Rattus norvegicus: one gene and its partners. The protein of the gene in region 2 purifies or fractionates together with the protein of the main gene of each other region. This does not show direct contact. Links are inferred from orthologs where the notes say so. Each region holds a gene or a part of one and is shown on either strand. Other genes may lie near its edges.

The links.
Region 1: the proteins of Coro1a (region 2) and Poc1a purify together in Homo sapiens (affinity purification with mass spectrometry; 3 studies listed by BioGRID and IntAct, counting the BioPlex papers as one, with this or other methods). This does not show direct contact. The link is inferred for Rattus norvegicus from reciprocal best matches to the Homo sapiens genes CORO1A and POC1A.
Region 3: the proteins of Coro1a (region 2) and Ift57 purify together in Homo sapiens (affinity purification with mass spectrometry; 3 studies listed by BioGRID and IntAct, counting the BioPlex papers as one, with this or other methods). This does not show direct contact. The link is inferred for Rattus norvegicus from reciprocal best matches to the Homo sapiens genes CORO1A and IFT57.

What each region holds. Positions count from the first base shown.
Region 1 is NC_086026.1:115,804,983-115,814,776, forward strand, and holds part of Poc1a (POC1 centriolar protein homolog A), read left to right. Parts: intron 1-296; coding exon 297-468; intron 469-778; exon of another isoform or gene 779-812; coding exon of another isoform or gene 813-826; coding exon 827-1,006; intron 1,007-2,510; coding exon 2,511-2,618; intron 2,619-3,810; coding exon 3,811-3,926; intron 3,927-5,938; exon of another isoform or gene 5,939-6,125; intron 6,126-9,794.
Region 2 is NC_086019.1:190,725,490-190,735,885, reverse strand, and holds Coro1a (coronin-1A), read left to right. Parts: upstream 1-4,782; 5' UTR 4,783-4,885; intron 4,886-5,323; exon of another isoform or gene 5,324-5,498; intron 5,499-6,363; exon of another isoform or gene 6,364-6,384; 5' UTR 6,385-6,385; coding exon 6,386-6,583; intron 6,584-7,398; coding exon 7,399-7,521; intron 7,522-7,610; coding exon 7,611-7,740; intron 7,741-7,821; coding exon 7,822-8,006; intron 8,007-8,100; coding exon 8,101-8,220; intron 8,221-8,411; coding exon 8,412-8,516; intron 8,517-8,621; coding exon 8,622-8,767; intron 8,768-8,850; coding exon 8,851-8,908; intron 8,909-9,026; coding exon 9,027-9,242; intron 9,243-9,542; coding exon 9,543-9,647; 3' UTR 9,648-9,757; downstream 9,758-10,396. UniProt on the Homo sapiens protein: May be a crucial component of the cytoskeleton of highly motile cells, functioning both in the invagination of large pieces of plasma membrane, as well as in forming protrusions of the plasma membrane involved in cell locomotion.
Region 3 is NC_086029.1:64,583,674-64,593,467, reverse strand, and holds part of Ift57 (intraflagellar transport protein 57 homolog), read left to right. Parts: coding exon 1-178; intron 179-2,574; coding exon 2,575-2,737; intron 2,738-3,843; coding exon 3,844-3,962; intron 3,963-8,557; coding exon 8,558-8,648; intron 8,649-9,794. UniProt on the Homo sapiens protein: Required for the formation of cilia. Plays an indirect role in sonic hedgehog signaling, cilia being required for all activity of the hedgehog pathway.

The DNA of each region.
Region 1 (9,794 bases), on a different chromosome or scaffold from region 2:
TGTCTGACAGGCTCTTAGAGTATCAATGGTGAGACCAAGGGCCTTGGGTTGTAGTACAGAAATGTCATGCAAATGTCCTGTGTTGGCCTGCTACAAGGAGAACTGCCAGGCCATAACTGTCCAAACTATAGGTCAGTAATCACAGATGCAGGCCGTCCCAATGGGATCCTGTCATCGTCCTTTGGGGAATGCCTGTGATGGTGGAGATGGGCTGTTGTGCCCCTGCATCCCTGGCATTGAGGTGGGTGCTTGTGATTCTTGAGATCTGAGAATCATCTTGTTACTACTCTCTTCAGCCAGTGGCTCCATGGACTCAACCCTCATGATCTGGCACATGAAGCCCCAGTCACGTGCCTACCGCTTCACGGGCCACAAGGACGCCGTGACTTGTGTGAATTTCTCCCCATCGGGACACCTGCTTGCCTCAGGCTCCCGAGACAAGACCGTTCGAATCTGGGTACCCAATGTGTGAGTTCTGGACTTCAAGGGACTGACAGCATCGAGGGACTTGGTATAAGAGCTGTCCCTCCTTGGGTCCTTATCCTGGCTTTGAGCTTGTCACAGTGGGACATGTGACCTCTGAGGTGCCATCAGAGGCTGAAGCTTCGCTTGGGCTGTCTCCTTATGTTGGAATGGCTGCTACCTGGTGTTGCAGCTCACACGAGGGTGGTGGTGGTGGGAAAAGCACTTTGTTTCTGTTGGGCAGCTCTGGCCTCTTTGGGGTGAGACCGGGACACTTAGGCCTAGGGAGTTGGCGAGAACTTTGGTGTCCTTGTAGGTTCTCATGTCTGTTATGAGTCTCCTGAGTCTGGATGTCTATCCTCAGCAAAGGTGAGTCAACTGTGTTCCGTGCACACACGGCCACAGTGAGGAGCGTCCACTTCTGCAGTGATGGCCAGTTGCTCGTGACAGCCTCTGATGACAAGACAGTCAAGGTGTGGTCAACTCATCGCCAGAGATTCCTGTTTTCCCTGACCCAGCACATCAACTGGGTCCGCTGTGCCAAGTGAGAATTTCCTGTCTGGAGAACCTGGGAGCGTGAAGGGTTTGGGGTCAGAAGGGCTTGCAGGTGTCAGCTTGTAACCTTGGGCAGGTTGTTTACCTCCCTTTAGTGTACCCCTGAGTCTTATTTTTCTGTACGGGTAACTTTTTTTTTTTTTTTTTTTCCCGGAGCTGGGGACCGAACCCAGGGCCTTGTGCTTCCTAGGCAAGCACTCTACCACTGAGCTAAATCCCCAACCCCGAGTCTTATTTTTCTAATCTGTAATATGTCAATAGTGGTTGCTGTATTGAACTTGTTGGGGGAGCATCATTGAGTTCTATGTGACACATATTAGTCAGCCATGACCCTCTGTCAGGTGTGTGGAGCACTCCCAGGCTAGCAGATAGCAGCCGCAGCAGCCACAAGTCCTCTCAGTACCACGGTGTGCTTTCTCCTTGTTCCTGAGGACAGTTCTGCCAGCTAGGTAGCATCTTCTTTAGTTTGCAGAGAGAGAAACAGGCTTCCAACAGAGCAGTATCTACTCAGCTTAGTTATACTTCAGAGCTGCTGGGTAAGGACTTGGTGTGGAGGCCCTGGCTCTGGTGTGGGAGGTGGGATGCCAGTGGCTTGAAGAATTACAGAAAACATATTCCTGCCTGTGGTTTTGTCAGCTTCTTTAACAGAGCTTTCTCATGTCACAGCTCTGCTCCAGAGGAGGGTGTCCAAGGAGCACTAAGAAACCATGAAAGTCGGAGGTTGGGGACCACTGAACTATCTTCCTCTGGAAGTTTCTTATTCTCTATGACAGAACCATTCTTATTCTGGGAGGGCCCTGCTCAGAGAGCGGGTACTGATAGGGAGGGCAAGCCAGCAAAGTTGGGTGTTAAGTCCTCGGTAGACCTTGAATAGTAAGTCTCAGGACCTCCATGTGTTTTGTTGGCCTTCATATTTTGCTGATGTCCTCATGTGGTGTTCCTGACCACCGCCATGTATCAAGCAGCACCATCTGTGTACTGCTATAGGCCATCTGTCTCCTGGGTGTTCTGTGCTACCGTGTGCTTGCTACGGGTGGGCACTGCAGAGGGTCTGTCTCACAGAGGAGGCCGCTTGTCCAGGATCACTCAAGGTATCAGAGCAGCACATGCCCGTAGGTGGTTCTCGGGTCAGGCAGTTGTTGGTACACACTTGGGAGGACTTGGGAGGCTGAGGCAGGAGGATTGCCACAGTTTGATCTACATATAGCGTTGCAGGCCAGCCAGTGCTACACAGTAAGACCCTATGTCAAAACAACAACATTAAAAAGCCTTAATGCGGGGTTGGGGATTTAGCTCAGTGGTAGAGTGCTTGCCTAGCAAGCGCAAGGCCTGGGTTCGGTCCTCAGCTCCAAAAAAAAGAAAAGAAAAGAAAAAAAAAAAAAGCCTTAATGCCAAAGAGTTCCTGGATCAGGCAATAGCACGCTAGAGGAAGTGGCTGTAGAGAACACAGTGTGGTACTCAAAGTAGTGTGACTTATGGTCCTGTCAACCTAGGTTCTCTCCTGACGGGCGGCTCATCGTGTCTGCCAGCGATGACAAAACTGTCAAGCTGTGGGACAAGACCAGCCGGGAGTGTGTCCACTCATACTGTGAGCACGGCGGGTGAGTCTCTGTCGTCCTCCCACTGCGGGTCCTGCACAGAGTAGGTCAGGGCATGGTGACCCAGGGGCCTTCAGGGGCTGGGCTGTGCATATATCAGCCCTGCTTGCTGCTCGTCAACTGAATATGCTTTTCATATGCACTTTTACCTTTTCCTTTGTAGATGGAGAGTTAAGCCCCATCCTTATCCCATAGACAGCAGAAATTTTTTACCTAGAGTTACACAATAATTTGGTCTCTTTTCCCCCTTTTAGTTTCTAGTTCTCAAAATTATAATGTGTCTTTCTGAACATTGAATCAACCCCCTAAACTGTATGTCAGAACTTAGTGTTCCCCCATGGTGATGATTTATGAATGAAAGCCTCGGTTCTCGTAGCTGGTATTGGCTCTTCGTCCTATGCCGCATTACTCAGGCAGAGTAGGCGGGGCCTCTGAGCTTTTCTACTGTCTAAGCAGACTGCCGCTTCACTCCTCATGCCTTAAGCTGGGCCTCTCCCACCGCATGGCAGGGATCCCTCCAGAGTGCCTGAGTATTTATGCATGTGCACTGGAGGCTCTTGACTGGTCTTCCAGAGACAGATGGGCGAGCAGCCCTTGTAGCACTGCCAGACCTTCCCACCCACAGCTCAGTTGGTGGGACCTGCCTTGGAGCTAGCCCTGGCAGAAGGACCCCAGAGCACCTTGGCTGACCTGCTGGTCTGAAGATAGCTATCTCCACTTGTATTTAAAAATCAGCCGGGGGCTGGATGTGGTTACACACACTTGTAATCTTAGTCCTGAGGAAGGGAGGTAGGAAGGTCGGCCGGGCGACATACTGAATATGGAGGTGTTGTCTCAAAAAAAACTTAAAGACAATGGGGTTGGGATTTAGCTCAGTGGTAGAGCGCTTGCCTAGCAAGCGCAAGGCCCTGAGTTCGGTCCCCAGCTCTGAAAAAACAAAACAAAACAAAACAAAAAAAACAAACTTAAAGACAGAAGAGGAGGGGAAGGAGGGAGGAACATGGTTCCTGATAAGTCTACTTTATGTCACTGCTGGTCACTGTTGTCAGCTGCTTTTTGGTGTCTCCTGGCTACCTGGTAAAGAAGCATGTTCCAGGTTGAGGGACCTGTGTGACCAGACACACAGGGAAAGGGCGCTTTGGGTGCGTCCTATCCAGGGAAGAACTCTTACAGTATGTGACTGTTCTCTCTCCAGCTTTGTCACCTACGTGGACTTCCACCCCAGTGGGACCTGCATTGCTGCTGCTGGCATGGACAACACGGTGAAGGTGTGGGATACTCGGACTCACCGGCTGGTGCAGCACTATCAGTGTGAGTGTCGAGCAGTGTCGCAAGCCCACAAGCCGCCACTGCTGAGACGGTGTGAGGGCTGGGCATCTGCTTCATTACTGCGCTGCTTAAATAGGCCCAAAGACAGCCCCGAGCTGGGAGGATTCCTGCGGCTGTTGGGTCCACCAGGATGAATAGTTGGTGTGGTAGTCATCTTGGCTTGGAACGTTGGTCAGGTGGTGCCCTGCTATAGCAGAGTCTCACACACGCTGTAGCTGCCGAGTCTTTGGTGAGTTTCTGGCTAGGACTGTTTCTGAGGCCTGCTCCTTGAGAGCGCTATACTACTCATCTCTCCCTGTGACGGAGGTGACTTCCCAGGGCCAAGGAGATGGGCTGCATAGAGGTTGGTGGGACCTTGGCCTCATGTTACCTTCCACAGGTCTTCCTACAGCCATGAAACACGTAGAAGGTTGCTTTAGCTGAGGGCCAGCCCTGGTGCCAGGCCTAGGCCTATGGCCCCTTCTTTAACTGTCACCTGTGGATACAGAGCAGCGGGAGTTGACATTGGGTCTGGAGTTCAGTCTTTAGCACTCTCTACCCCAATATTCCCGTAAGACTTCTGTGGTTGCTTCTCAGACATTGGAAAGCAGCACTTTCTTGGGCTGCCGAGCTGAGGAATCCAGGAACTGGGAGAAGTTCCTGGTTCGGGACAGGACAGAGTGGAGTGTGGATTCTGTAGCCAGCTTCAGCATTCTCAGCTGTGTGACACTAGGTGGTGGGTCAGTGACTCCTCTGAGCTCTTGGGACAGTGATGGGGTTCATCTTACAGGTGGCAAGCCAGGGCTTGACTTACCTCTTGTTAAGAGGGAAGAGTGGCTGGCACAACATGGCTACAGTGACAAAGATGCTGTTGCTGCTGGCCCCAAGTGTTCAGCAGGAGTCATCAGTCACTTGTAGAGACATACAGTCCACGGTGCCACCAGCAGGTGGCAGGCTTAGCCACCAGAACCAGGCCTTTCCTAGTCAGAGCCAAGGCACCTCCCGCTGCTGTGCTTTCAGAGGCTTCCAGAGCAGAGCAGTCAGGTGCACGTCCACCCTCTTTAGACTCAGAGGCTTGGTTTCTGTCCTGGCCCAGGCCCGAGTTAAAGGCTAGGGCTGGAGACTGGGCGCTGTCTCCATGTTGACTGGTGAAGGTGGCAGAGCAAGGAGAGTCTGGGCAGGGAGAGATGAGACAGGAAAGGGACCAGGGAGTGCAGTGGCCAGGAGCGCAGGCTCCTGTGTTCTGTGACCCTTGCCCATGAGGTGATAATCTGCTGAGAGAGTATGTAGGGGTATTACGGTATAGCGCTTGGTGTGGTTTGTGCCACACAACCCTACACTGGGAAAGAGGATTTCTAGCTGTCTCTGGAAGAGTCTCCCTGATAGATTCTTGAGTTCTAGCAGCATGTATCCATTGGAAGATCTTTGAATGCCACCTTTAAACCTAAGGTCCCAAATCCTAGTGACTGGTAACTCTGGGGCGTGACACTCGAGGAGCAAATGGAGGAGGGACATTTGAGAAGACAAGTGTTGAGAGAGATTCTGCTATGATGTGTGGTTGATAGACCCTGGTCATTGGTGCACGGATTTCCATGCTCAGTGTAGAATGAATCAGAGTGGTTAGGCCAAGGGCTGCTTATGTAGAACGAGTAGAGGCGGAAGCTGATGCCGTGCTGGTGGAGGGGCCACCTGGGCCTTGGGATCTGGGACATGAGAAAGAAGGGCCACTGCCATATTCTGAACCATTATGGCTGGAGCTGGAGGACCACTAAAGAGGAAAGGACTCCACAGCAGCCATGAGACCCATGAGACAGCTGGGGAGGGCAGAGTCCAGAGGAGAATGAGATCTCAGGAGGGGGCTGGCAGGAGGTGGAAGAGTTCAGAGGAGGTAGGGAGAGGACTGTGGGTTTCAAGGGAGTGGGCAGAAGTGCAGCTCAGGGCTAGCAGGGCCAGGAGGGCCTTGGGTGAGCATCAAGGCCAAGTTCCGAGTGGACGGGAGTGCTTGCAACCCACAGGTTCCTCTGAAAGCTTTCAGTGGGAGTTTGCTGCTTCTTTGCCTCTTGGGATGGAACTCCTCAGCAAGGCTGCAGGGTCATATTTCTCGGCTGTCCTGCTGTGTGTCGGAGCCTTGTGGGGACTTTGTGCAGCCTATAAACACAGCCGGCTTCCTCCTGAGCTTCCTGCCCAAGGCTGTGGCACCTGGTAGGTGTTCACACGAGAGCAAACTCACCTCTCAGCTTTGGGGATCACCTTCCGGGAGTGGGAGGGGGTTACAGCTCACTCTACTTTCCGATACTGTACCTCTGGCTAGGTCTGCTCAAGTCAAAGGCCTTCACAGAGAACTTGGCTAAAACTCTGCCAGGGAGGGTCACCCTCTTCAGTGCACCCATGGGTCTGTTTGGAAGCTCTCAGCACCGTTGTGGTAGCAAACCTCTGATCTCTCCTCTGTTCCAGATTCCTAAGAAACCCAGGTGAGAGATCTAAGGATACAAAGTTCAATGTCTCCCGCGGTGGTGCGGGATAAGAGGCTGGTGGGCTCTGAGAGAGTGTGGTTAGTGCTTGCAGTGAGTACCCAGCACCCCGCGCTCATGCTTCTGTCCTCGCCTCGGCTGTTGGAGTAAAGCTTGCTTCAGCTGTGAGTTACAGCATGTAGCCAGTGCTGTTGGTCTAAGGTGGGCTGAGTGTCCTCCCCGGCAAGGTGTTTCTTGGCTCCTGCCTCTCACTGCAAGGAGCAGTTCTGATTTCCTAATTCAGCGAGGAGCCGATGGGCTGGTGGAGCCCTGATAGTGCCAGTTCCCGTGGAGGTGGGTTAAGCACCATATGCTCAGAGCCCACGTTAAGACTGTTCAAACATCTGAGCAGCAGCCCCCGCCATCCCTGAAATCCAGAATGTGCTTTGTGGTTTGCGAACATGTGCAGGCCCATGATCCAGGCACAGGCCTGGGTGACCAGCAAGGCATGGCCTCTCCCCGCTTCATCCTCAGGTAACGTGAGGCTTGCCTAGAGCCACACAACTGAGAGCCAAATCTAGCTCTTCAGTAGGAAGGGTCTGGGAGTCTGCCCACTGTTCCCACGCTGAGTCCTACGCACTCTAGTGTTTTATTTACAAAGCTCCTGGGAGAGATGGGTTTTCTTGACAAGTTGTCAGGAGGCTTGGCTTGGTCATTTCCAGAAACTTGAGTTGCTAAGTCTTTGAGTTCTCTGGTCACTGGCTCCTGAGAACATCTGTGTACCTCCATCCTACCCAAGGGGTCTTTGCTTAATTGTATTCATTTTTGTAGGTATGAGTGTTTTGTCAAACATGTACAATACCCAAAGAGGCCAGAAGAGAGCACTGGGCCTCCTAAGACTGGAGTTATATTGTCATGAGCAGCCATAAGGGTGTGAACCATGACTTGAATCAGGGTTCATCAGAAGAGCAATGAGTGCTTGTGACCACTGAGCCATCTCTTTTAATGTGGTACTAGGAATTGAACCTAGGACATCAAGCATGGCTTTCACCAAGCTATATACCCCAGTCTCATTACGAAGGCCTTTTTGCTCTGTTTTGTTTTTTGATTTTTTTTTTAAAGTGTGTGTGTGCATGTGTGCGTGTGTGTGTGTGTGCGTGTGTGCGTGTGTGTGTGTGTGTCTGCAGAGGTAGAATAGGATACTGGATCCCCAGATGTTAGGAACTAAACTCAGGTCCTCTATAAGACCTGAGTTATAGGTTACCTGAGTTATAGTTATAAGCAGTACACATTCTTTTTTTTTTTTTTTTTTTTTTTTCCAGAGCTGAGGACCGAACCCAGGGCCTTGTGCTTGGTAGGCAAGCGCTCTACAACTGAGCTAAATCCCCAACCCCAGCAGTACACATTCTTAACTGTTGGGCTATCTCTCCAGAGCATCATGGAGGGCTTTTAAATGACTTTGCAGCTAGCAAGATACTGAGCCTTTTATTTGGTGTTCTAATTTTTTTAATTACATTAATTGATTTAAATGTTTGTTTGTTTAGAGTGAGTGCATATGTGTGTGCACGTTGCATGTACACACATGTGAATGTGCCATGGCATACTTGTGGAGGTCATAAGACAACTTTGGGAAGTTGGTTCTCTTTCTGTCATGTGGGACTCAGAGATTAAACTTAGGTTGTCAGGTTGTTATTTCTCTGGTCCTATTTGGGGTGATGGGACTTAATGTATTAGTCAGGAGCAATGCTGGCTAACCTTCTTCACTGTCTCCTACCATCCCAAAGTGGCCATTTATGTGACCTTGCTTAAGGTGACTTAAGGGTCCTTGCTGCTAGTGTCAGGATACATTTAGGTATATTCAGCATTCCTTGGAGACCCAGAGCCACAGGAATACGAGTTAGCATCATGAGGAGCATGTTGGTCCTTGGAAGTGAGCAGACCCCTTTGTGACAGGATGTGGAAAAGGAGCTCAACCCCAGCACTATCTATCTCAGAGAATCCATCCTCCCAGGCACCAGGCTTTATCTGGGTCCCTTGGTATCCCTGGACTCTAGCAGGCTCAGGTTTGCCAAAGGCTTCTTCCTGTACACAAAATAGTGTCCGTGGAAAGGATTGTGTGTACTTAAGTCTCTCTCCAGGTTCTCTGCTGCCCATAAGCTGTAGCCATTTCCTGGTGTTTAGGGGCAGGGGCTACAGGACCCCACTGGCTCTTGGTTGACCTAGAGCAGTGTGCTGCTGAGCGTCTCTGACACAAGTTACAGTTCCCACTCTAGATCACAGCTAGGAGCACACAGCTACCAAATGATAATCTGTGTTGTCCCTGATATCTGCCATAAAGCTAAGGCGACTTGGACAGCTCAGGACGTCATAAAAAGGAGGTTGTTCTTGGACAGTCACTGCTCAAGGCATTGTGACGAGAGGCTCATCCCTTCGTTGGCTGTGAGGAGAGGCTCACCCCTTTGTGGGCATTTGAGAGAATATTATGCAGTGATGGCTTTTGGGGTTGGAATAGATGGATCCTGCCTACTACCTCAGCAGAAGCAGAGTGGAGGAGACTGTGGCCAGCAGTCAAGGCAGGAGAGCAAATGGGGATAGTGGGGGTGGGTTCTATGTCTGGATGTCCCTTGAGCCTGATGTCAGGCTCAGCCCTCCTCGGGGGTCAGTGGCTGTAGAACCCTGGCATTTGTAACAGAGTGGGGCTTCTGTTTCTTTCCTTTGGGGACAGTTTTCTTTCTCAGATAGTGATGGAGTACATAGTTTTGTGTCTACATAGACTGCTGTCTTGGTGGTTCTGGGGAAGCCCAGGGCTCCCTGAGCATGTCTTACTGTGCTCCACCTTTCTGCCACTGGCTGTGCCTCTGCTGCTTTGTCTTAGGTGGATCAGGGGTCAGGGTGGCCTTCACTCCAGGGCAGGCGGAGGGGTCTCTATTCTGTCTCCAGGAGTGGGCTGTAGAAACCTTGAGATCTTTTCCATGCTGCTTCCTGGAGTTGTCATTGGAACGTGTTGCTCAGATATAAATATCAGGTTACATAAAGCCTTGGCTGTCTCCCTAAGTGTTCCTGGGAACATGTCTGCATACTCCCCGCATTCATACACCAATGCGGCTCGCATCTAAAAGGCTCCTTGTAATCCTTGTGGGCTCTGCTAAGGGCCTCGGAGGCTCCTGAATGCTCTCAGAGCCCAGGTGAAAGCCTGGTTTTGATCTTGTCTCTATGTGTGGTGATGCCTACCTCAGGATCATGGTGACCTCAGCTCCACTGTTTCTCCACTAGATCAGTGGTAGTGACTAGGAAGACACTGGGTCTTACCTTTGCAGCCTTTAACAAGCAGGTCCATGCGTTAGCTATGATGTTGCTCCTGACCGCATGGGTCTACCTGTTTCTCTAGCTCCATACACAACATACCCTTAACCTCAAGGAA
Region 2 (10,396 bases):
GAGTTTCCTCCTCTTTTGTTTTGTTTTATCTCCTTACGTAGCCCTGGTGTCCTGGAACTCACCACACAGAGCAGGCCGGCCTCAAATTCACAGAGATCTGCCTGCATCTGTCTCCCGAGTGCTGGGATTAATGGAGCGCTCCACCGAGCCTAGCTTGCAATTGGAGTTAAAGGCAGTTGTGAGCCACTCTGTGGTACTGAGAAATAAACCTGGGTCCTATGCAAAAGCAGCAAACGCTTGCAACCACTGAGCCCTCCCTCCAGCCCAGAACACGGGTTATCTTACTCCAACTTTAACTGCTCTCCTAACTGTCTGTGGTGGTTTGGATGAGCATGAACCCCTAGTTTTGAATTCTTGGTTCCCAATTGATGGGTCTGTTTGGGAAAGATTAGGAGGTGTGTCACCGGGATCAGCTTTTTTTCCCAAAGCATTTCTGCAGTTCCCAGTGCCCTCTTTCTCAGCTTCATAGCTGGGTACGAACGCAGGTTGTTTTTGCCACCATGGACTCTAACCCTCTGAAACTGTAGGCCCAATTAAACACTTTCTTTTGTAAGTTGCCTTGGCTGGTGTCTTATCAAAGCAATAGAACAGTAACTGAGGCAGGTAATTTGATGTTTCACAGAAGTGGGATGTCTCTTCTTCAAGGACAGCCTGCCCCTTTCCCAGAAAGCCCGGCTCTGGGGTGGGTCTGGAATACAGTCCTCGGGTGTGTCCTGTTCTCCTCTGTCCCTCCACTGTCCTCTCAACTGCCTCTGTTGTCTGGCAGGTTGGTTTCACGTGAAGGAGAGAGCCACATAGACGTTTCATGCCCTGCGTTTGTCTTCCTACTCCATAAAATCAGTGAGTTATGTACTCTGTAGGCAAGTCAATGTTGCTTGGTGAGGAGCCGCAGGAAACAGTAGCTAGGTCTTTCCAGATCGTTGGTCACTGTCATGTCCCACAACCTCTTTAGAGGCAGACAGACTAGAGAAAACCTTGAGAATCTCCCGCAGGACTTTGGACTTCCTGTATTTCGGTCTGTCTTTACTGTGCATATTTGAGTGCTTGGGTCTCTGATTGTGTCTCTCTCCAGGGAAGCTAGACCAGTTGTAACTCAAATTTACTAGTTTAGGCGGGCGTGGGGGGCTCTACTAACTTATATGTCACTATACAGTGCTTCTGGCACAGCTTGATCCAGACCCTCCAATGATGCACAGAATCTGTCTTTGTATCTTGCTTCTGCAGCTCTCTCCATGGGCTATTCTGAGTAGTTTTTTCCTACATGGTGATAAATGCCCTCTCCTAGGGTTGTGTTTTCATATTTGGGGCAAAGAGGGCTTTTCCCACCTCACACAGCTCCAAGATGTGTCTCTTTCTCACAGCACAGATTGAATCAGTGATCTTCCCAGAGCTAAGCCAGGGGAAGGGGGTTCGCTAGACAGAAAGGGGGTTCATTAGACAGAGAAGCATGGTCACAAGCAGGATCCCAGATGGTCTGATGGAATGCTACATCTCTGAAAGAAAACCAAAGTGACGTCACAGAGGAGGACTCAGGGGATAGCCTGGTGGCAGAATGCTTGCCTAGCATGCTTGAGATCCTGAATTTGGTCTCCAATACACATATACACAGATGTACATACACACACACACACACACACACACACACACACACACACACACACATCCATGTTAGTGACAAGCTAGACCCACCCGTCACTGAGCTAACACTCATTCTTGTGTTCTGTAGACATCTGCCTTGGAGAAGTCCCTCCCACTAGTTTCTGTGTCTGTCCTCTACAACAGCTTCCTGTCTTCATATTATCTTCCCCTTCCCATACTGCAGACTCTGCCTGCATCTAAGAGCAGCGTCTGACTGCCTAGCTATCTCTTGCTAGCTTCACTGCTCCTGAAGGCGGGTTTCACCAAGTTCTCTGTCTGAGTGTGAGTACTAGGCCCTCCGGTGCTGAAGGTGGTGTATATACTTCCGGCCAAAGGGAGAGAACCACCAAGCAGTAGCCACCCTCGGGGTGGAAGGTGTTTTTAGGATTAAGTAAATATGGTACTTTTTGTTTGCTTGTGTTTGAGATAGGGTCTTGCTGTGTAGCCCAGGCTGGTGACCTGCCTCAGCCTCCAGAGTTCTGGAATTGTGGGTATGTACCAGCATACCCAGTGAGCGTGTAAATCTATAATGTTCAAAACTGGTATATAGAAGCTGCACAATAAACATCAGCTATTATTATCTGCAGGAAAGGGTTAAGACAGAATCTCATACAGCACCAACTAGCCTTGAGCTCCTTAATGGAGCTAAGAATGATCTTGAATTCCTGAGCCTCCTACCTCTTCTGTCCAAGGGTTGAGATTATAGGCAATCACCATCTTACCTGGCTTTGTTTCTAGGTTTTTAACTTATTTTTCTGAGACAGAGTTTCTCTGCATAACTCTTGGAACTCACTCTGTAGACCAGGCTGGCCTCATAATCAGAGATCTCCCTGCCTCCACCTCCCAAGTGCTGGGGTTAAAGGCTCGTGCTGCCACCTCACGGTTTATTATTTTACGTCTGTGGTGGTTTGAGTAAGGATGGCCACCAGAGGCTCGCACGCTTGAATGCCTAGTTCTCAGTTGGTGAACCGCTGGGGGTTAATGTGTTGGAATAGATACCTCCATATTGGAGGAAACGTGTCTGTGAGAGTAGGCTTTGTTATTTCAAAAGTCCACACCAAGGGGCTGGGGATTTAGCTCAGTGGTAGAGCGCTTGCCTAGCAAGCGCAAGGCCCTGGGTTCGGTCCCCAGCTCCGGAAAAAAAAAAAAAGAAAAAAAAGAAAAGAAAAAAAAAAAAGTCCACACCAGGCCCTGTCTGTCTGTCTGTCTGTCTGTCTATCTACCTCTCTTCCTGACTGTGGATCAGAGTGTAAAGCTCTCAGCTACTGTTCCAAAACCACGCCTTTCTGCTTCCCACCATGATGATCACGGACTAACCCTCTAAAGCCATAAGCAAGTTCCTAGTTGAATTCTTCCTTTTATAAGACTTGTCGTGGTCATGGCGTCTCTTCACAGCAACAGAACAGTGACTGAGGCAGTACGTATGACTGTTTTACATGCCTGTATGTATGTGTATCAAACGCATGCCTACAGATGGTTGTAAGCCACCAGGCGGATGCTGGGAACTAAACCCTGGTCCTCTGCAAGAACAGCGAGTGCTCTTACCCATGGAGCCACCTCTCGAGCCTGGTGCCTAGTTTATGTGATGCTGGAGATCAGGCCTTCCTCAGGCTGTGCACGAATTCTGCCAGCTGAGCTGCATTCTCAGCCCAGTACTGTTAGCACTTTAGCTGCAGACTGCCGAGTCCCTGGCCACGATCACAGAGCCTCAGGCACAATCCAACCCTGTTGAGTAACTATAGAACACTGCAGGCTACAGAACAGTCAAATGCTTCATTTGAGCCCAGACAGCTGTGAGGTGGGCAGGGCGCCTTGTTCCTCTCCTACAGAAACTGAGGCTTGGAGAGGAGGGGCCTCTTGGTCAAGATCACACAGCTAATCGGTACGATTGGAGTCAGGCCCCTTTTGTTCCTTTGGACTACTTCTACCTGGAAGAACGGTTTCCTCTGACAGGGTCTTGCTGTGTAGCCCAGGCTGTGAGGGCTCCTGCCTCAGTTTCCTGAGCACAGATGACTATCAGCACACCTGTGTCTTTGAGCTTTGCTGTCACCGAGCCTCAGCTCCTGCCCTTCTCCAAAGCCACATCTGCTATTTCCCTCTTCTTCCCAGGATAGCCCAAAGCTTTGGTAAATGACAATTATGAAAGGGACCAACATCTTTTAGGTTTTTGAAACAGGGTCTCACTATGTAGCCAGGCCTGGAACTTTTATGTGGACCAGGCTGGCCTCGGCTTCACTGTGATCCTTAGGCCTCTGCCTCCCCAGTAATGGATTCATAGGTGTGGGCCACCACATTGGCTGTAAGATCCAACATTAGTTATCGCCTGACGCTCTGTAGATGTGCATCCAGCTATTTTTGGAGTGAACGTCTCCACATTGAGGCAGGTAAGACTGTTAGAGAGGGGGAGTTAGGGCTGAGATTAAATTAACCTGTCCAAGTCATCTGAGTGACCACCAGGAGTCACAAGGTTCCAGCAAAGGCCTTTCTTGCCCTGACAACCCACCACCCCCTAAGGGACAGGAATGGTTAAGAGCACTTCTGCGTGTGGTATCAGACTTCTGCGTGTACTCAGTGGCCTTTAAACTGTGGCAGACATACTCCCCACTCCACTTGCCACAGGCCTGAGGGCTCTCTAGTGGCGGGAGCACGACTCACTTCCCTCCTCAGCCCCAGCACAAAACAGGTGCTCCATAATGCCCAGTTATTCTACTTCTTCCGGGCCTCAACCCCGTGAAGCAGAGGTCAACGGCATCCCCGCTGAAGCCCTGAACCCCTAGAAAGGAGAAATGAACCCCCCCTAAGGCATCCCAGAAATCCATCTGGGTCATCGACAAGAGAGATCCTTCCTGTCGCAGAGAAGGCTCTCAAGCTGGTTGTAGCCCTTCTGGCGCTTTCTCGGGTGCCAGGGAAAGGACCTCGAGGAGGCTGCGGGCGGCTGGGGGAGGGATGAAGGAACGGATATTTTTTGCGTTTTGACATTAAAAGAAGAGTTGATTCGCGTCAGCATCTGTTCGGGGGTTGGAGCTGACAGCATGGGAGCGGGTCCCAGCTTTGCCGCCCCAGAGCGAAGGGCCGGGCCTCCATGAGCTCCGCCCAAAGGGGCGCTGCCACCCAGAGGAGGCCGGCGCACGGCCGCTGCTCATTCATTGTCTTGACAGAGCATCCTCGGTGGCCAGCCTGCGGCTCCTCCATCCTTCTCTCCTGCCTCCTCCACTTGGGAGGGGTCACGCTCAGCTCTCCGCAGCAGGTGAGGCTGGGCGCCGGGGGAGGGCTGGTCACAAGGGCCCGGCCACGCTGCCATGGGCCACCTGTGGGGCCAGCGCCGGTGTGGGGGCAGGACTGTGGGACTGTGGGGGCGGGCGAGCTGTCAGGGCCACCAGATTGGGGACAGAGAGCCGGTTTGTGAGCCCCGCCAGGAGGACCGAGGACTAGGGAGTGCAAAGGGGCAAGTAGGTCCCAGATTGCTCCAAGGTGAGGGAGAAGGACCATCGTGACCAAGATGGAGGTGGGCTCCTGGGAGCGGCCGTAGCTGGACTCCGAACCTATGCCCCCGGGAGGGAGCTTCGAGGAGGGCAGGGTGGGGTGAGACAAGTAGCTGCCCTGAGCTTTGAGACAGGAAGGGGTTGAGTGCAAAACAAGACTAAGTTCCCCTTTCCGTGGTTTCCGGGCTTGGTACCTGGGTGGGGGAGGAGGCCGGGTGGGGCACATCTTTCAGCCCCCACCTCTGGATTGGGCTATCCTTCTCCCTAGTCCAGACTGCTCACTGGTGGCCTGTGTCCCCTTCTTGTCTTGGAGACTTCACTCTGGCACTTCACCTGCTTTTTTTTATAGACCTGGGAGCCTCCTTTGGGGATACCATGGTGTGTGAGGACTGGAGTCCCAACTAGAAGGGGCTCCCCATTAAGGCAGAGCAGATGGGTGAGGCTGGGGAGATGGATAGAGGCTCCGGGCAGGATGCCTTCCACAGGGCAGCCGAGGTTCCTCCACTGAGCAGGAAGGTGGAGGGATTGGGCACGAGGACGGAGCTCTGGAACACAAGGATAGGGGCCGCTCCTGGGCGGCCCTGGCTGGCTGCCTAGCCACAGTGGGTAACCATCTTAGCGGACCTCAGGGATGTCAGGGTGGGCCTCTCCTGAGTGCAGCTTAATGGAAGCAGCGATGGCTCAGAACATCTGCTTTTTCTGAGCGGAGGTTAGGAGCCGAGGTCTGGGATGCTGGGACCCAAGCCATTGCTGCTGCTTGTAGCCAGAAACCTGGGGAAGCCATCCTGCTACCTCATTCCTTCCTAGGCAAGCTGGCATGCATCCGTCTGTGTGCAATCCCTGAGCTGGAAGGCCAGGGAGAAGCCCTGCCCTGCCTTTAGGAAGCTCTGTGTGGGCGTGAGGGATGTAGGATCTAGAAGAGGTCAATAGGAGGGAACCCACCTCCAGCGTGCCTGGACCACTAGGAAGGAGGCACTGTGTCTCAGTCAAGAACCAGACCCTTGGAGCCACACCATATCAGGCTATTGTAGGGGCTGGTGGTGCAGGATTGAGGGTGTGGCTTGAAGTGCCTGGGAGTTTGACAGAAGAAAAACTGGGGAGGGTAAGCAGGGAGGTAAGTGAGTTGTCAGTCATGGTGAGTAGTAGGTCAGGGTGCCTCAAACAAGATGCTGGAGCCCTCGAAGCCAGGCCAAGGGTTGCTCTGGGGATGACAATGTAGGGCTGGAATTGACCCAAAGGAAAGTTTACAATCTGTGTCCTTCAGGATGAGCCGGCAGGTGGTTCGCTCCAGCAAATTCCGCCACGTGTTTGGACAGCCAGCCAAAGCTGACCAGTGCTATGAGGATGTGCGCGTCTCACAAACCACTTGGGACAGTGGCTTCTGCGCTGTCAACCCCAAGTTCATGGCTCTGATCTGTGAGGCCAGTGGGGGAGGGGCCTTCCTGGTGCTACCCCTAGGCAAGGTGAGCTTCTGGAACCGCAGTGCTCCTCATGATTCTGCTGTCCATTGAGACCGTGGGGTCCTGAGTAGGTGACCCCACAGAACCCCAGGTCCTGGGCTGATATCTGTAAGACGTGACAGGGCCACTTGCTACTTAAGTCTTGGCTTGGGGCTTTCTGCTCAGGATAAGGATGCTCTAGTGTTCTCAGGAATGAGACTCCAGGTCTGGCGAGGACTTTGGGGACTCCTCAAGTGTGAGTCCTGGCTCACGGGTGGAGTTGAGGCAAAAACCTTTCCCTCCCCTCTGAGCCTGCTGCCCTTCAGCCCCAGTTCACTCCTGGACTCGTCAGGGGGTGAAACAGGAAGGGGAGATAGGCCCCAAGTTGTTACCTTAAAAGGGCCGATGGAAGCAAAAGAGAAGAGGAAGTGGTTGTCGGGCTGAAGCTGTGCCTGCACCCTGCGAAGCTCCTTACACAGGAAGCAGTTGGCCCTCGGAAGAGGCCATTTCCAAACCTCTGCTGCTGTCTAGAAGCATCAGGACAGACCTCCAGGACCCTATCTGTAGAACACATCCTATAGCCCCCTTACTCACACTCTCCTCTTGGGGACCCCAACCCGTGCTCACTCTGAGTCCATGGTACCCACAGATGACACTGAGAGAGAGGGCCAGAGTCTCATGCAATTTGGTGCTAGCCTTCCCGGGACTAGGACAGAGCCAAGTCCTCCCCACCTCAGTGCTCCCAGGGACCCCACAACCTTCCCTTGCAGGGGTGTGGGGAGGTTGGATTGGGTTTGGAGGTCAACTGTCTCCATCAGAAGCCATGTTGTGCCCCCTAGACTGGACGAGTAGACAAGAATGTGCCCCTGGTGTGCGGCCACACTGCCCCTGTGCTAGACATCGCCTGGTGTCCACACAATGACAACGTCATTGCCAGTGGCTCTGAGGACTGCACAGTTATGGTAAGTCTTGTTAGGAATGTGGGTTTGAAGGGGTCTCCAGGAAGAACCTGGTGTTGAAGCCCCAGAGACTCACTTGCCCCTTTCTGCAGGTGTGGGAGATCCCGGATGGGGGCCTGGTGCTGCCCTTGCGGGAGCCTGTTGTCACCTTGGAGGGCCACACCAAGCGGGTTGGCATCGTGGCCTGGCACCCCACAGCCCAGAATGTACTGCTCAGCGCAGGTGCCATAGGGTGAGGAGGGGAGGGCTAGGAGACTTGATAGAGGGCAAAGGCTCATCATTCAATGTTGGACGATTGTGCAGGTTGTGACAATGTGATCCTGGTGTGGGATGTGGGCACTGGGGCAGCCGTGCTGACGCTGGGCCCGGATGTGCACCCGGACACAATCTACAGTGTGGATTGGAGCCGGGATGGTGCTCTCATCTGTACCTCCTGCCGTGACAAGCGTGTTCGCGTCATCGAGCCTCGCAAAGGCACTGTTGTGGCTGTAAGTTGCCGTGAAACCTAAACCTTCGGATGTTGCTCTTCCTGCACCCACGTGGGGTCTGAGAAGCTGACCTACCACATCTCTCTCCTCTCAGGAGAAGGAGCGTCCTCATGAGGGAACTCGGCCAGTGCATGCTGTGTTTGTGTCAGAAGGGAAGATTCTAACCACGGGGTTCAGTCGCATGAGTGAGCGGCAGGTGGCGCTGTGGGACACAGTGAGTACTGAGATACAGGGCCCTGCAGGCTGGGAGTCAAGGCTAGAGGCTTGCCCTACCATATGACCATGGCCTCGGTTTACCTGTGAGATGGGGAGTTTCTATGCTTAGTCTGAGGGCCCTTAGCTGGTAATTGTCCGGTAAGGACCTGACATGGCCCAGCCTGTTGCCATCACCACCTGTCTCTACAGAAGCACCTGGAGGAGCCACTGTCCCTGCAGGAGCTGGACACAAGCAGTGGAGTCCTGCTACCTTTTTTTGACCCTGATACCAACATCGTCTACCTCTGTGGCAAGGTGACTCAGTCAGGAGGGCTGGGGGGCAAGGGACGTGGGAAGGTGGCGTGGTGAACGAAGTCGGGTGCCCTGTACTGGTACTGACTCTCTTGCCCACACCTCCAGGGTGACAGCTCTATCCGGTATTTTGAGATCACGTCTGAGGCTCCGTTCCTGCATTATCTTTCCATGTTCAGTTCCAAGGAGTCTCAACGTGGTATGGGCTACATGCCCAAACGTGGCCTGGAAGTGAATAAGTGCGAGATTGCCAGGTGACTGACCCCTAATCCTAATCAGACCTTCAGTACCCAAACGGTCACACTGAATAATGATGCTCACCTTCCTGTTTCCACAGATTCTATAAGCTTCATGAGCGGAAATGTGAGCCTATTGCCATGACAGTGCCTAGAAAGGTGATACTCCTGCGCTCCTCCCAGGGTGCTGGGACCGGAAATGACCACGGGGGGGGGGGCTTGTAGGGTGGGGCAGGAACGTAAACACTCTCATGACCCGCCTTGGCCTCGCCCACAGTCGGACCTGTTCCAGGAGGACCTGTATCCACCCACTGCCGGACCCGACCCCGCCCTCACAGCTGAGGAGTGGCTGAGCGGTCGTGATGCTGGCCCCCTCCTCATTTCCCTCAAGGATGGCTACGTGCCCCCAAAGAGCAGGGAGCTAAGAGTCAACAGGGGCCTGGACAGTGCTCGCAGAAGAGCTACACCGGAGCCCAGTAGCACTCTTAGCTCGGTAAGGCGGGTGGGGAGCTGCGGGAGGGAGCAAGGCGGGACGCTGGGCTCAGGCAAAGGTTCATAGGGAAAGAGTCTAATGTTTAAAGGTGCCCAAGCTCCGCACAGCGGGAGATTCTTGGAGGGCAAGGAGCTAGTGACCAGGAGGCCTTAGAAACCAGGTTGCAAGCCTAGAGACAGTAATCCGAGTAGCATCTGCTGGGAGAGAAGGGCCCAAGCCCTGTGGCTGTTGGAAAGGTTAGCTGACGCCAGTGGAGGGAAGAACAGAAAAGCTGGGCTAATGCAGGGCTGGGTCTCTTAGGACACCGTGTCACGGCTGGAGGAGGATGTGAGGAATCTCAACGCCATAGTGCAAAAGCTTCAAGAGCGCCTGGACAGGCTGGAGGAGACTGTTCAGGCCAAGTAGAAGACTCCAGAGCCTTCATCTGGGGCCAGCCATTTACTCTGCTCCCACCCCAACCCTCAGGCCATATGGTGGATAAGACGAAAATAATAAAACGGCTTTATTTTCTGGTACCTCTGACTGGTGAACTGGCTAGCCCCAAGGCTTCCCCTTGATAGTTCTCTGAACGCAAGGTCACCATTCAGGTTGTGGGTCACTTCCAAATGCTCGCTGTAGCAGAGGGGCGGGCCCTGCCTGCTAAGATGCCTGCTGCGATAGAGCTGGATGGGGCTGGACAATTGTTCTCCACTTCCTCGCTCTGCCTCAGAGTGGAAGGTCTGAGCCATCCAGATCCCTCTTAGGGCCCCCAAAATGTCAGTCACCCCAAAACCTGGTGTTTTCTTTGGTAGTGCTGGACCAAAGCTGTTAATATGCCATGTAAGCTTTCTATCACTCTAGCTATGCCTCTAGTCCTGACCCCAAATTAGCATTTCCTGGTCAACACCAGCACAACCTGCAGACAGCCATGCCAACACTTGCTTGTCGGGAAACCAACGAGCACACGCTGACACTTCTCAAGCCGCGGACTCAAAGAACAAAAATAACAAGACTTCTGAGCAGACACCACTCACTCATGCAACCTGAGCATGCGGGAGACCAAGGATTGCTGTGGGGTTCAAGTCAGAAACTCAACTGAGAGTGCTTATAAAGTGAGACACTGCCTCAAACCAAACAACTCAAAACCAGATGGGGTGTGGGTGTGGCCTGGCTGG
Region 3 (9,794 bases), on a different chromosome or scaffold from region 2:
GCTTGGACGATGGGGTGTCTCGGGCTCGCGGGGAAGGCGCTGGGGAGGCGGTGGTGGAGCGCGGGCCGGGAGCGGCCTACCACATGTTCGTGGTGATGGAAGACTTAGTGGAGAAGCTGAAGCTGCTCCGCTACGAGGAGGAGCTACTCCGAAAGAGCAATCTGAAGCCCCCGTCCAGGTGCGTGCTGTGCCCCAGCGCCGGGTGCTGGCTGGGCCCCAGGGGGACGCCCCCTCCTACGTGAGGCGCAGACCCCACGCGGGGATCCGCACGTCCAGTCCTCTGTCTTCTTTGCTCTGGAAGGGAACTTCTGCACCGAGGAAGGTGGAGTTTTTCAGACCTGATCATTTTGTGGAGAAAGTAAACAAGTTTTGAAATGGCAGGGAGGCCTGGGGAAGATAGCCTGTTTATTCTTTGAAACAGACACGCACCGTCTACCAAGCACAAATCTTGTTTTAAGTGTAATAAAATACCCACAGTTGAAAGGGAAAAAAAAAAAACGATCTCTAGAGATGAGTGGCCTTATCATTTACATCTCTTTCTAGTTTTTGTTTTCCTTCGCTAGACTTCCTAAACTGACAACTGTGATTACTTAGGACCGTGTTGAGGAGCACTTTTTATGTAGTACGTAAACTTGTGGGCTAATTACTATGGTTCAAAGGACTTAATACTTTTGCAATAATACTCTTAGAAACCGGAGAGTGGAGAAGGCAAAAGAAACAATAAGTGTTGGAATGGCCCTCATTATAGGGCCTAAAGTTTCGTGCTTGCCGTGGTGGGAAAAGTTTGAAATATCCTGAAGGCAGTGCCATTAGTTGCCAAGAGTGATAGACAAAACTCCCACAGGTAATCATGGTAGCTTAGTGATAACTGTTTTATTGCTTTTCCTTCACTTTAAAACTTGTATTTGTTTTATTCTGAAAGAAGAAATAAAAAAGAACTAACATACTTTCTTTTACCATCTCTGGGTAGGCTCATATAATTTCTCTTGGCAGTTTTGAGCTCTTACCCTCTTCCAGACACATTTGGAAGGATTCTTGGGCTTTTATACAAACTGTCCACAATGCCAAATTAGTCTGTAAGGGAGAAAAATTACCATCTTGATCCTGATCTACAATAGAAGTTTTAGGATTGGGATTATTATTTAAAAATGAGTTGGTCATAATAGCATAGATGGCCAACATTTTCGGTGTTGATAAAAATGTTGTTTTTCAAATGTATTTGTCGAACAAAGGGAAAATAGCCTTACACTTCTATTAATACCTTGCTGTACTGAAACTCTAAGCTTGAGCAAGATACTTTGTACCATGCATTTGTGTGGAGACATTCTAACCAGGAGTTCAAAGTGTCACTATCAGACCAAAAAGTCAGCATCACCTGGGAATACAGACAGAAGTTTCCAAGGCTCTTGTCCAGATCTGCCTTTTCAGAACTTCTGGAGGCAAACTATCTGAGTTTTCAATCCCTCTGGGTGATTCTGATGGACCTTCATGCTTGAGAATCCTCATCTCAGGCCCACAGCATCTGTCAGTGTGCCTTCTTCTGTCCTAGAGGAGAGTCAGGTAATAAGGAATAAACAGTTATTGGTAGATAAATTCCTTGTAAACCTATGCCTGAAAGGAGTTCATGAAAAATTTCCTAGCTTTATATTTTCTTCCAGAACTTTTATACTTTCTGGATGGAAAAAGTTTAGAAAATAGAAGTATAGACCACTGATTCTTATGTCATATATATATGTGTGTATATATATATGTACACATGTGTGTATACTGTATATATGGATATAGTAAAAACATAAGTCATTAGTTTCTTAAATTCATATATATATATGTGTGTGCGTGTATTAGTAATAGTGGTAGCTACATAAAACATATCAGATCTCTGATTTAACTTTTGAATGATGCTACTTGTACCTTTATGTCCTCCCTCGCTTTGTATAAATCATATCCTCATGGCAATGTATCTAGTACAGTAATGGAATTAGCAAAAGTTAGCAGTGGTGATGCAGGGGGACATGACAGGGGTCCTTGGTCCTTTCTGCCACCCTGGACCATCTAAGCTGGGAAGCTCTGAAATGTACCTGTGCTGGGTTCCATCCCATAAGTTATGGCTGTGCAGGCCTGGGGACTGCTGCTGGCAGTATTTTAAGGAGTTGATCTGAATCTGCAGCTAAAAGGAAGCACCTGCCTGGCGTAGCTGATAGGCCACAGACAGTGAAAACCATGGTAAGTTATTAGTCTCTTAAAGTCCAAGAGCCTCATAATCCACAGTCGCCACTTGTAGGGGGACTGACTGATGACCAGTTAATTGATTGTGACCAAAGCTTCAGGTCATCCTCCAAAATTACTGCCTTCCATCCCTGGTTGGGGTAGGGGTGTCGATCAAATATTTTGGGTAGTGTAGTGATTGTCCCTTGATACTGGGTCAAAACTTCTTGAGTGCCATAACTCACTAGATAGCTCAATAGTATTGATGAAGGCTGCTTGAGGGGAAAATTAGCAACTTCAGACTTGTCTGTGTGACTTACTCACTGTTGATTTGCTTTATCTCACCAACCAATCCTCCCTTTGAAACAGACACTACTTTGCTCTGCCTACCAATCCCGGTGAGCAGTTCTACATGTTTTGCACTCTTGCTGCCTGGCTGATCAACAAGACTGGCCGTGCCTTTGAGCAGCCTCAGGAATATGACGATCCCAATGCAACTATATCTAACATCCTGTCTGAGCTCCGCTCTTTTGTAAGTGACGCGCTCTCTTCTCCATGTTCTCAAACTGCAGGTTTCCGTAGTAGCAGTTCAGTAACAGGTGCGAGCCTTTTATTTGACTCTTCTGGAAGAGTAGACAGACAGACCGATAGTTGACTGATAGGAGTGATTTTCCAATTTATTTTAAAATAAGAGCTTCCCAGAATGGTTGATATTATATGGAACATGAATTCCACTTCTAAAAACGTTACATAGACCAGATTAATAATAATTTTCTTAATTTTTGTAAGCCTCAAAAATAGATTCTTAGGTAGGTGGTCAGCTCTTCCCCTGGAGGGATGATTCAGAGTATGAAGCAAACAACTGACTTTGGAAGGATTTGGGTTTTGTTAGGATTTCTCATTTGTACTTTCATTTCTGGCTTCTCCAGGGGAAAGGCAGTAAGACATTTTTGACACTTATTAATTTCTAATAAGTGAATCACTGTATCCTTTTTTTAAAATGCATTTTACCATGCCAGTAGTTTTGCTGACAATTTTTCAGTACTGATTTGTTTCCCTGCTATGATGAAACTGCCTTTATTCATTTATATTTTTGAAATTACAGAAAGTTAGGTCTTTTGTCCTGTATGTAGGCTACAGTACATTCTTTGAAGCAGAAACAATAAGTTAAGATATTAAAAAATGACAATTCTAGATTGAACACAGTTACAGAGGTCACCCCTCAAGTCTGCCTCTGGATTTTTCTCAGGTGTGATGGGGAACACAGAACAGCAGTGTTGAGCTTACATGTCCCATTCTGCACAGTCAGCAGTCTAGCTAGTTAAGTAAATCCTAGTTCTTAACGAAGCTGAGCCTAAGGTGATAATAAGGGTGGGCTGAGGGTGTGGACCTGAGAGGTCTGGAAAGCTTGTATGGTGAGGATGTAAGTGCCTTTTAATTTGGTACTTTGAGCATAAAATATCTGTACTTGTGTAAATGTATCAGTGGACTAAAAAGACTTAAGGAATGAATGCCTAAGAGAATTACCTTTATCTTGTCATTTGAAGAGTTCAAAATATACATGTGCTCAGTAGTTCTTTGCTGAAACAATCTTGGCCTCTGGAATACAGCCAACAAATAACATCTTTATCTTTTCAGGGGAGAACTGCAGATTTTCCTCCTTCAAAATTAAAGTCTGGTTATGGAGAACATGTATGCTATGTTCTTGATTGTTTAGCTGAAGAAGCATTAAAATATATTGGTTTCACTTGGAAAAGGTAACTATTACCTCACAGACAATATTGCTATTACAGAATTAATGGGTTTTGCTGTTGTTATTGTTTGTCTTGATTGTTTCTGGAGTACAGAGCTGTTTAATTAAACTGACAAGGGCTGACTGATCTAAACTGACAGTGCACCAAAGATTAAAGATAGACACAACCAGAATGCTTTCCAAATCCACTCTGAAATGATTTCATCAATCCGGTGCATCTCCTGTTTGTTGTTATTGTAATCCTTGCCAATTTGGAAAACCTTTCTAAGTTCTCTCTGTGCTCGTATTTATACCCACAACTATTGTGTGTGCTTGTCGAGGTAACCGAAAACCTCATATTTATGTAGAATAGGAAATTAAAATAGCACTGAGTGGGGAACTTTCTTTTTGCCTTGCTCAATGGCAAGAATAACGCTGAAGAAGCCACTTGCCATCCTTTTGGTTGGTTTCTGAAAGCACATTGTGTATTTTTTACGATATTTTAATAATTTGTTTACAGATATAGCTTTGTAGGTACAACTCTTACCAATCCTTCATCATATACAATCTTTGGTAATTAGCATTGTACTTAGTTCATCATATATGTTTAGTAAATATTGATGAATAAATAAAATCAGAAACTATTGGTTTTCTATGGTATGATTAAAATATATACATTTCATCTTTGAAAGCTGATAGGTTAGATTTTATTTACTGATTATTAGATATTATTTAATTCATAGGTTAGACGGTAGAACATGATAAAAATAAAGTATGCATTGTTTTTTAGATTTCAACAAACTCCTGCAGCTAGAAAGTGGTATATAATATTCCATGTTAATATATTAATACATGCACAATTACATTTATGTAAAAAAATCTACTTTATAATTTTTTCTTTTTTTATTGGATATTTTATGTATTTACATTTCAAATGTTATCTATCCCTTTTCCCGGTTTCCCCTCCAGAACCCCCCTCTTTCATCCCTCTTCCCCCCCCCCCCCCCCGCTTCTGTGAGGATGCTTCCCCTCCTGTGGACCCACTCCCACCTCACTTCTCAGGCATTCCCCTACATTGGGGAAACGAGCCTTCACAGGACCAAGGGCCTCTCCTCCTATTGATGCCAGACAATGCATTCCTCTGCTATACATGCAATTGGAGCCACGAGTCGCTCCATGTGCACTTTTGGTTGGTGGTTTAGTCCCTGGGAGCTCTGGGGGTCTGGTTGGTTGATATTGTTGTTCTTGCTATGAGGTTGCAAACCCCTTCTGCTCCTTCAGTCTTTTCTCAACTCCTCCATTGGGGTCCCTGTGCTCAGTCCAATGGTTAGCTGCAACCATCCTCATCTGTATCAGTAAGGCTCTAGCAGAACCTCTCAGGAGACATTCATATCAGGCTCTTGTCAGCAAGCACTTCTTGGCATCAGCAATAGTGACTGGGTTTGGTGGCTACATATGGGATGGATCCCCAGGTAGGGCAGTCTTTGGATGGCCTTTCCTTCAGTCTCTTCTCCACTCTTTGTCCCTGTATTTCCTCTAGATAGGAGCAATTCTGGCTTAAATTTTTGAGAAGGGTGAATGGCTCCATCCTCCCAACCAGGGTCCTAACCTCTGGATATGGTCTCTGTAGGTTCTCTCTCCCCTTTGTTGGGCATTTCAGCTAATGTCATCCCCGTTGGGTCCAAGGAGCCTCTTGCTTTCCTGGCATCTGGAATTTTCTGGTGGCTACCCCAGTTTCCCATCCCCCATTGCTATACACCTCTGTTCAAATTCCTGACCCTCTGAATATCATCCCCATCTTCTCTCATACCTGATCCTGCCCCCTCCCCCTCCCCCTCCCTCTCCTTCTCTTCCTCCCAAGTCCCTTCTGCCCTCTACCTCCTGTGAGTATTTTGTTTCCTCTTCTAAGAAGGATTGAAACATCCACATTTGGGTCTTCCCCCTTCTTGAGCTTCATATGGTCTGTGGAAATCTACTTCCTTTTAATAAGTATTTCTAAAAATTCTGAAAGTTGTGTGTGTGTGTGTGTGTGTGTATGTGTGTGTGTACAGTACAAGAAATATATTTAGGAATAGTTATACACTTATTTTTTTCTTTTTTCTTTTTTTCGGAGCTGGGGACCGAACCCAGGGCCTTGCGCTTGCTAGGCAAGCGCTCTACCACTGAGCTAAATCCTCAACCCCAGTTATACACTTATGTATGTAACAACAATGGAAGAAAAAGGAGGACTGAATCTTAAAGAGAATAAGGAAGTTGATATATGGGAGAGTTTGGATGGAAGAGAGAAGGGGATTGATAAAATCTCAAAAATTATTAAAACTTCCATGATTTAAGCTGTCTTTGGATATAAGTATATTCAATAACTGATATCCATTTAGTTTCAAGGTAAAACATGGCAGTTTCCTTTGCTTCAACCCAAACATTTCCATTCAGTTCATTGTAAAGAATGACTCTGCAGTCCCTAATTGTGTTGGTTAGATTTCAAGAAAAGATGAATTACATGATGTGCTGCCCGAGTTTGTTAGTTACTAAATCCATAGCTCAGTGTGTCATTGTTGCATTGCAGGCTATTACTGTGTCAACCACTATTCAATTCACACTTCCTTTGTTTCTAGTATAATATTTGGTTATATAATATGGGTTGTGACGTGGATAATTTGTAGGAACTGTATATACATGGAAAAGGAAAGGAAAACATTTGAAAAGTAATGAATGTTGGAAACTATCACTTGTGTTACATAGAACTTTCTTATTTATAGACGGTTATTCTTATTCCTAACTATGTCAAACGATTTTTAGAAGAACATTGTTTTTGATATAATTATCTAATTCTAAGTCATGAAAATTGGGAAATTTATTATACAAGATTGATTTGGTTCATAATACTTTTTTTCCTACTACATGTTGATCTGTATATTTTTTTAAAAATATTTGAGATGTATATGTTTAGAATTAGTTGTCACAATTAATGCAAATATGTCTGGATAATTTTTAATGTGAAAATAAGTAGATCTTAAGAGAAATTGTTGTCCAACACTTTAGTGTTAGAACCACTAATTGGACTTCAGAAATAAGAATCAAGCTTGCTATCTCTAGAAAAATAAACAGCATATTTGAGATCAATGTGAATTGAAAATTAAAACTATAAACATAGTAAAAGATCAGAGAGATGTAGGCAGGTGTGACTCAAGGGAATGCTTTAATTCTGTAATATTAAATCAAAGGTCTGGACAGGAAAACGTTGCCAAATCTATCTAGGAAGAATTATAACAGTCTTCATTATTCATGATTCTAAGTAGTAAAACTAGGGAGCAGATTAGATTAGGTAAACAATTTTCTTCCCCTATTGATGCCAGACAATACCCTCCTCTGCACATATGGGGCTGGAGCCATGGGTCCCTCCATGTGTATTCTTTGGTTGGTGGTTTAGTCCCCAGAGCTCGGGGCGGGGGATCTGGTTGTTGCTATTGTTGTTCCCCATATGGGGTCGCAAACCCCTTCAGCTCTTTCAGTCCTTTCTCTAAGTCCTCTATCGGGGTCCCTGTGCTCAGTCCTATGGTTAGCTGCTAGCATCCTCATCTGTATCAGTAAGGCTCTGGCAGAGCCTCTCAGGAGAAGCCCTTGGTCCTGTGATGGCTCTTTTCCACAGTGTAGCGGAATGCCAAGGTGTTGAGGTAGAAGTGGGAGCATCTTCAGAGAAGCAGCGGGAGGACGATGAGGGATGGAAGAGGAGGGAAAGGGGTTAATGTTTGAAATGTAAAGACATAAAATATCCAATAAAAACAAAAAATAAAAAGGAAATATTTGCTGCAAAATATATATACATGTAAAATTTAGTATATAAATTTAAATGATATTGAATAAAACACAATTGAAAGACGGGGTGGAGGAAACTAGAAAAAACATTAATTTTCTTAATTTATAAAAGTTAGAGTATAAATGAGAGTTTCACTAAAAATGAATCATCAATTAAAATATATAAAGTTGCTCAATCACGTCTATGATTAAGAAATTTAAAGAAACAATGATACTTTTTCATTTGTTTTATTGGCACACTTTATTTTATGCATATTAGAAGAAAATTTGAAACATAGATGCCATTCCTCACCATCCTTGGGAGTATAAATTAGGATAGCATTTTGGAAGCCAATTTTGACAGTTCGTTAAACCACAAACAACGTACAAACTTGTCGATGTAGCCATTTCACATGGACAAATTTATCTTAAAAGATCTGCCTGGTAGTAAATTTACAAATATGATCTTTAAAGTATTATATATCAAACAATAGAAATGACCCTATGTTTTAGTCACAGGATGAGCGTTTAATGGTAGAACTGCTGCTCAGTGGAGTGTAATGCATATATTGTTTTGTGTGCGTATATGAGTGAGCATGTTAGATACGGTATATACAGCATCAATTATTTTTGTTAATGTGCCTTTTACAGCTAGTGGCAGATATCTTTGCTTTTCTCAACATTGAAATTTTGGGGCAGAAGCAATCGATTTACTGAAGTTAACAAAGAGAGCGGTCCCATACGGAAGCGCCTTCACCATTCCTCGTAAGGCATGTTTTATCTCACTAAGAACTTCTAAGCATTCAGTAAATCTTGTTCTTTCAGGCCATCATACCCAGTGGAAGAGTTAGAAGAAGAAACTGTTCCGGAAGATGATGCGGAGTTAACATTAAGTAAAGTGGATGAAGAGTTTGTGGTAAGTGTGCAGCCGAGCTGCCTACAGCCTTGCCTGTGGCTTGCTTTCCCTTGGCTAACTCTCCTACTTTGGTTTTCTGGAATGTGTTTTGTTTCTCAGTGCAGTGCCATTCTCAGTCCTTAGGCCTCTGTTTAAGTTGTTATTTATGGTCCTGAGTCAATTTCCGAAGAGGTTCTAAGTGTGTGTGTGTGTGTGTGTGTGTGTGTGTGTGTGTGTGCGCGCGCGCGTGCAGGTGTATCACCAGCTATCAACATGTTTGATCTTAAAAAGCCATAACTTGCAAAAAATTAAAGAAAAATAGCACTCAGTTCCTACTTGGCCAAATGTGGCCGTGCATACCTGCGATCCCAGATTTTTGCCAGAGTTGGGCTGAGTACTTTAGATCTATCCACATAATCTGAACGGGACACATGATGGGGCAAAGAACTTATGTCGTATTTTCCGTTGCAAACTAAATAAAGATTTCATGGGTTTTTTTTTTTAATCAGTAGATAATCCACTCCATATTTCAGAATAAGCTAGTGTAAGCTATAAATTTGGTAGTTGCTGAATTATCTTAATAAGTTAATAAATAATCATTAAATAAATTGGATTACATCCAAACAGAATCTTATGTAGCTAATATGACTTATTTACGGACAATAATGACATGAGAATGACGATTTGTGCTTTGTTTTACAAAATTAGCTGTCATCACGGCTGTAACTGTGAAATGTGTAATAGTATCAGTATATTAATATTTGTTATAAACAGAATAATTATGGTAGTCTCTGTTTAATATTTCTTAGTGTTTTAATGTATATTTTATTAGAAGTATAAAGGATACTTTTAACCATATTAAAATACATGATTCTTCATGACTTTGCTAATTTTTTTAGCCCCAATGCTGAATTTCACTATGCCAGGCTAGCCTAGACACTCAACGGTGTAGCCACTGTCAAGTCTGGCTCTGGTTCTCAACCTAGACCACCATAAAATTAGTTTAAAACACATGCTTTCAATATGATAAAGTTTGAAAGTCGAGGTAAACAGTGCTGTCATCAGTTCTGCATGCAGCTATGAAGCTTTGTTACAGGAGGCGGAGGAGCTCCTGTTCTAGAACCTGAAAGCAAGAAGGTGCTGTGTGTCACCAGGAACTTGGAGAAA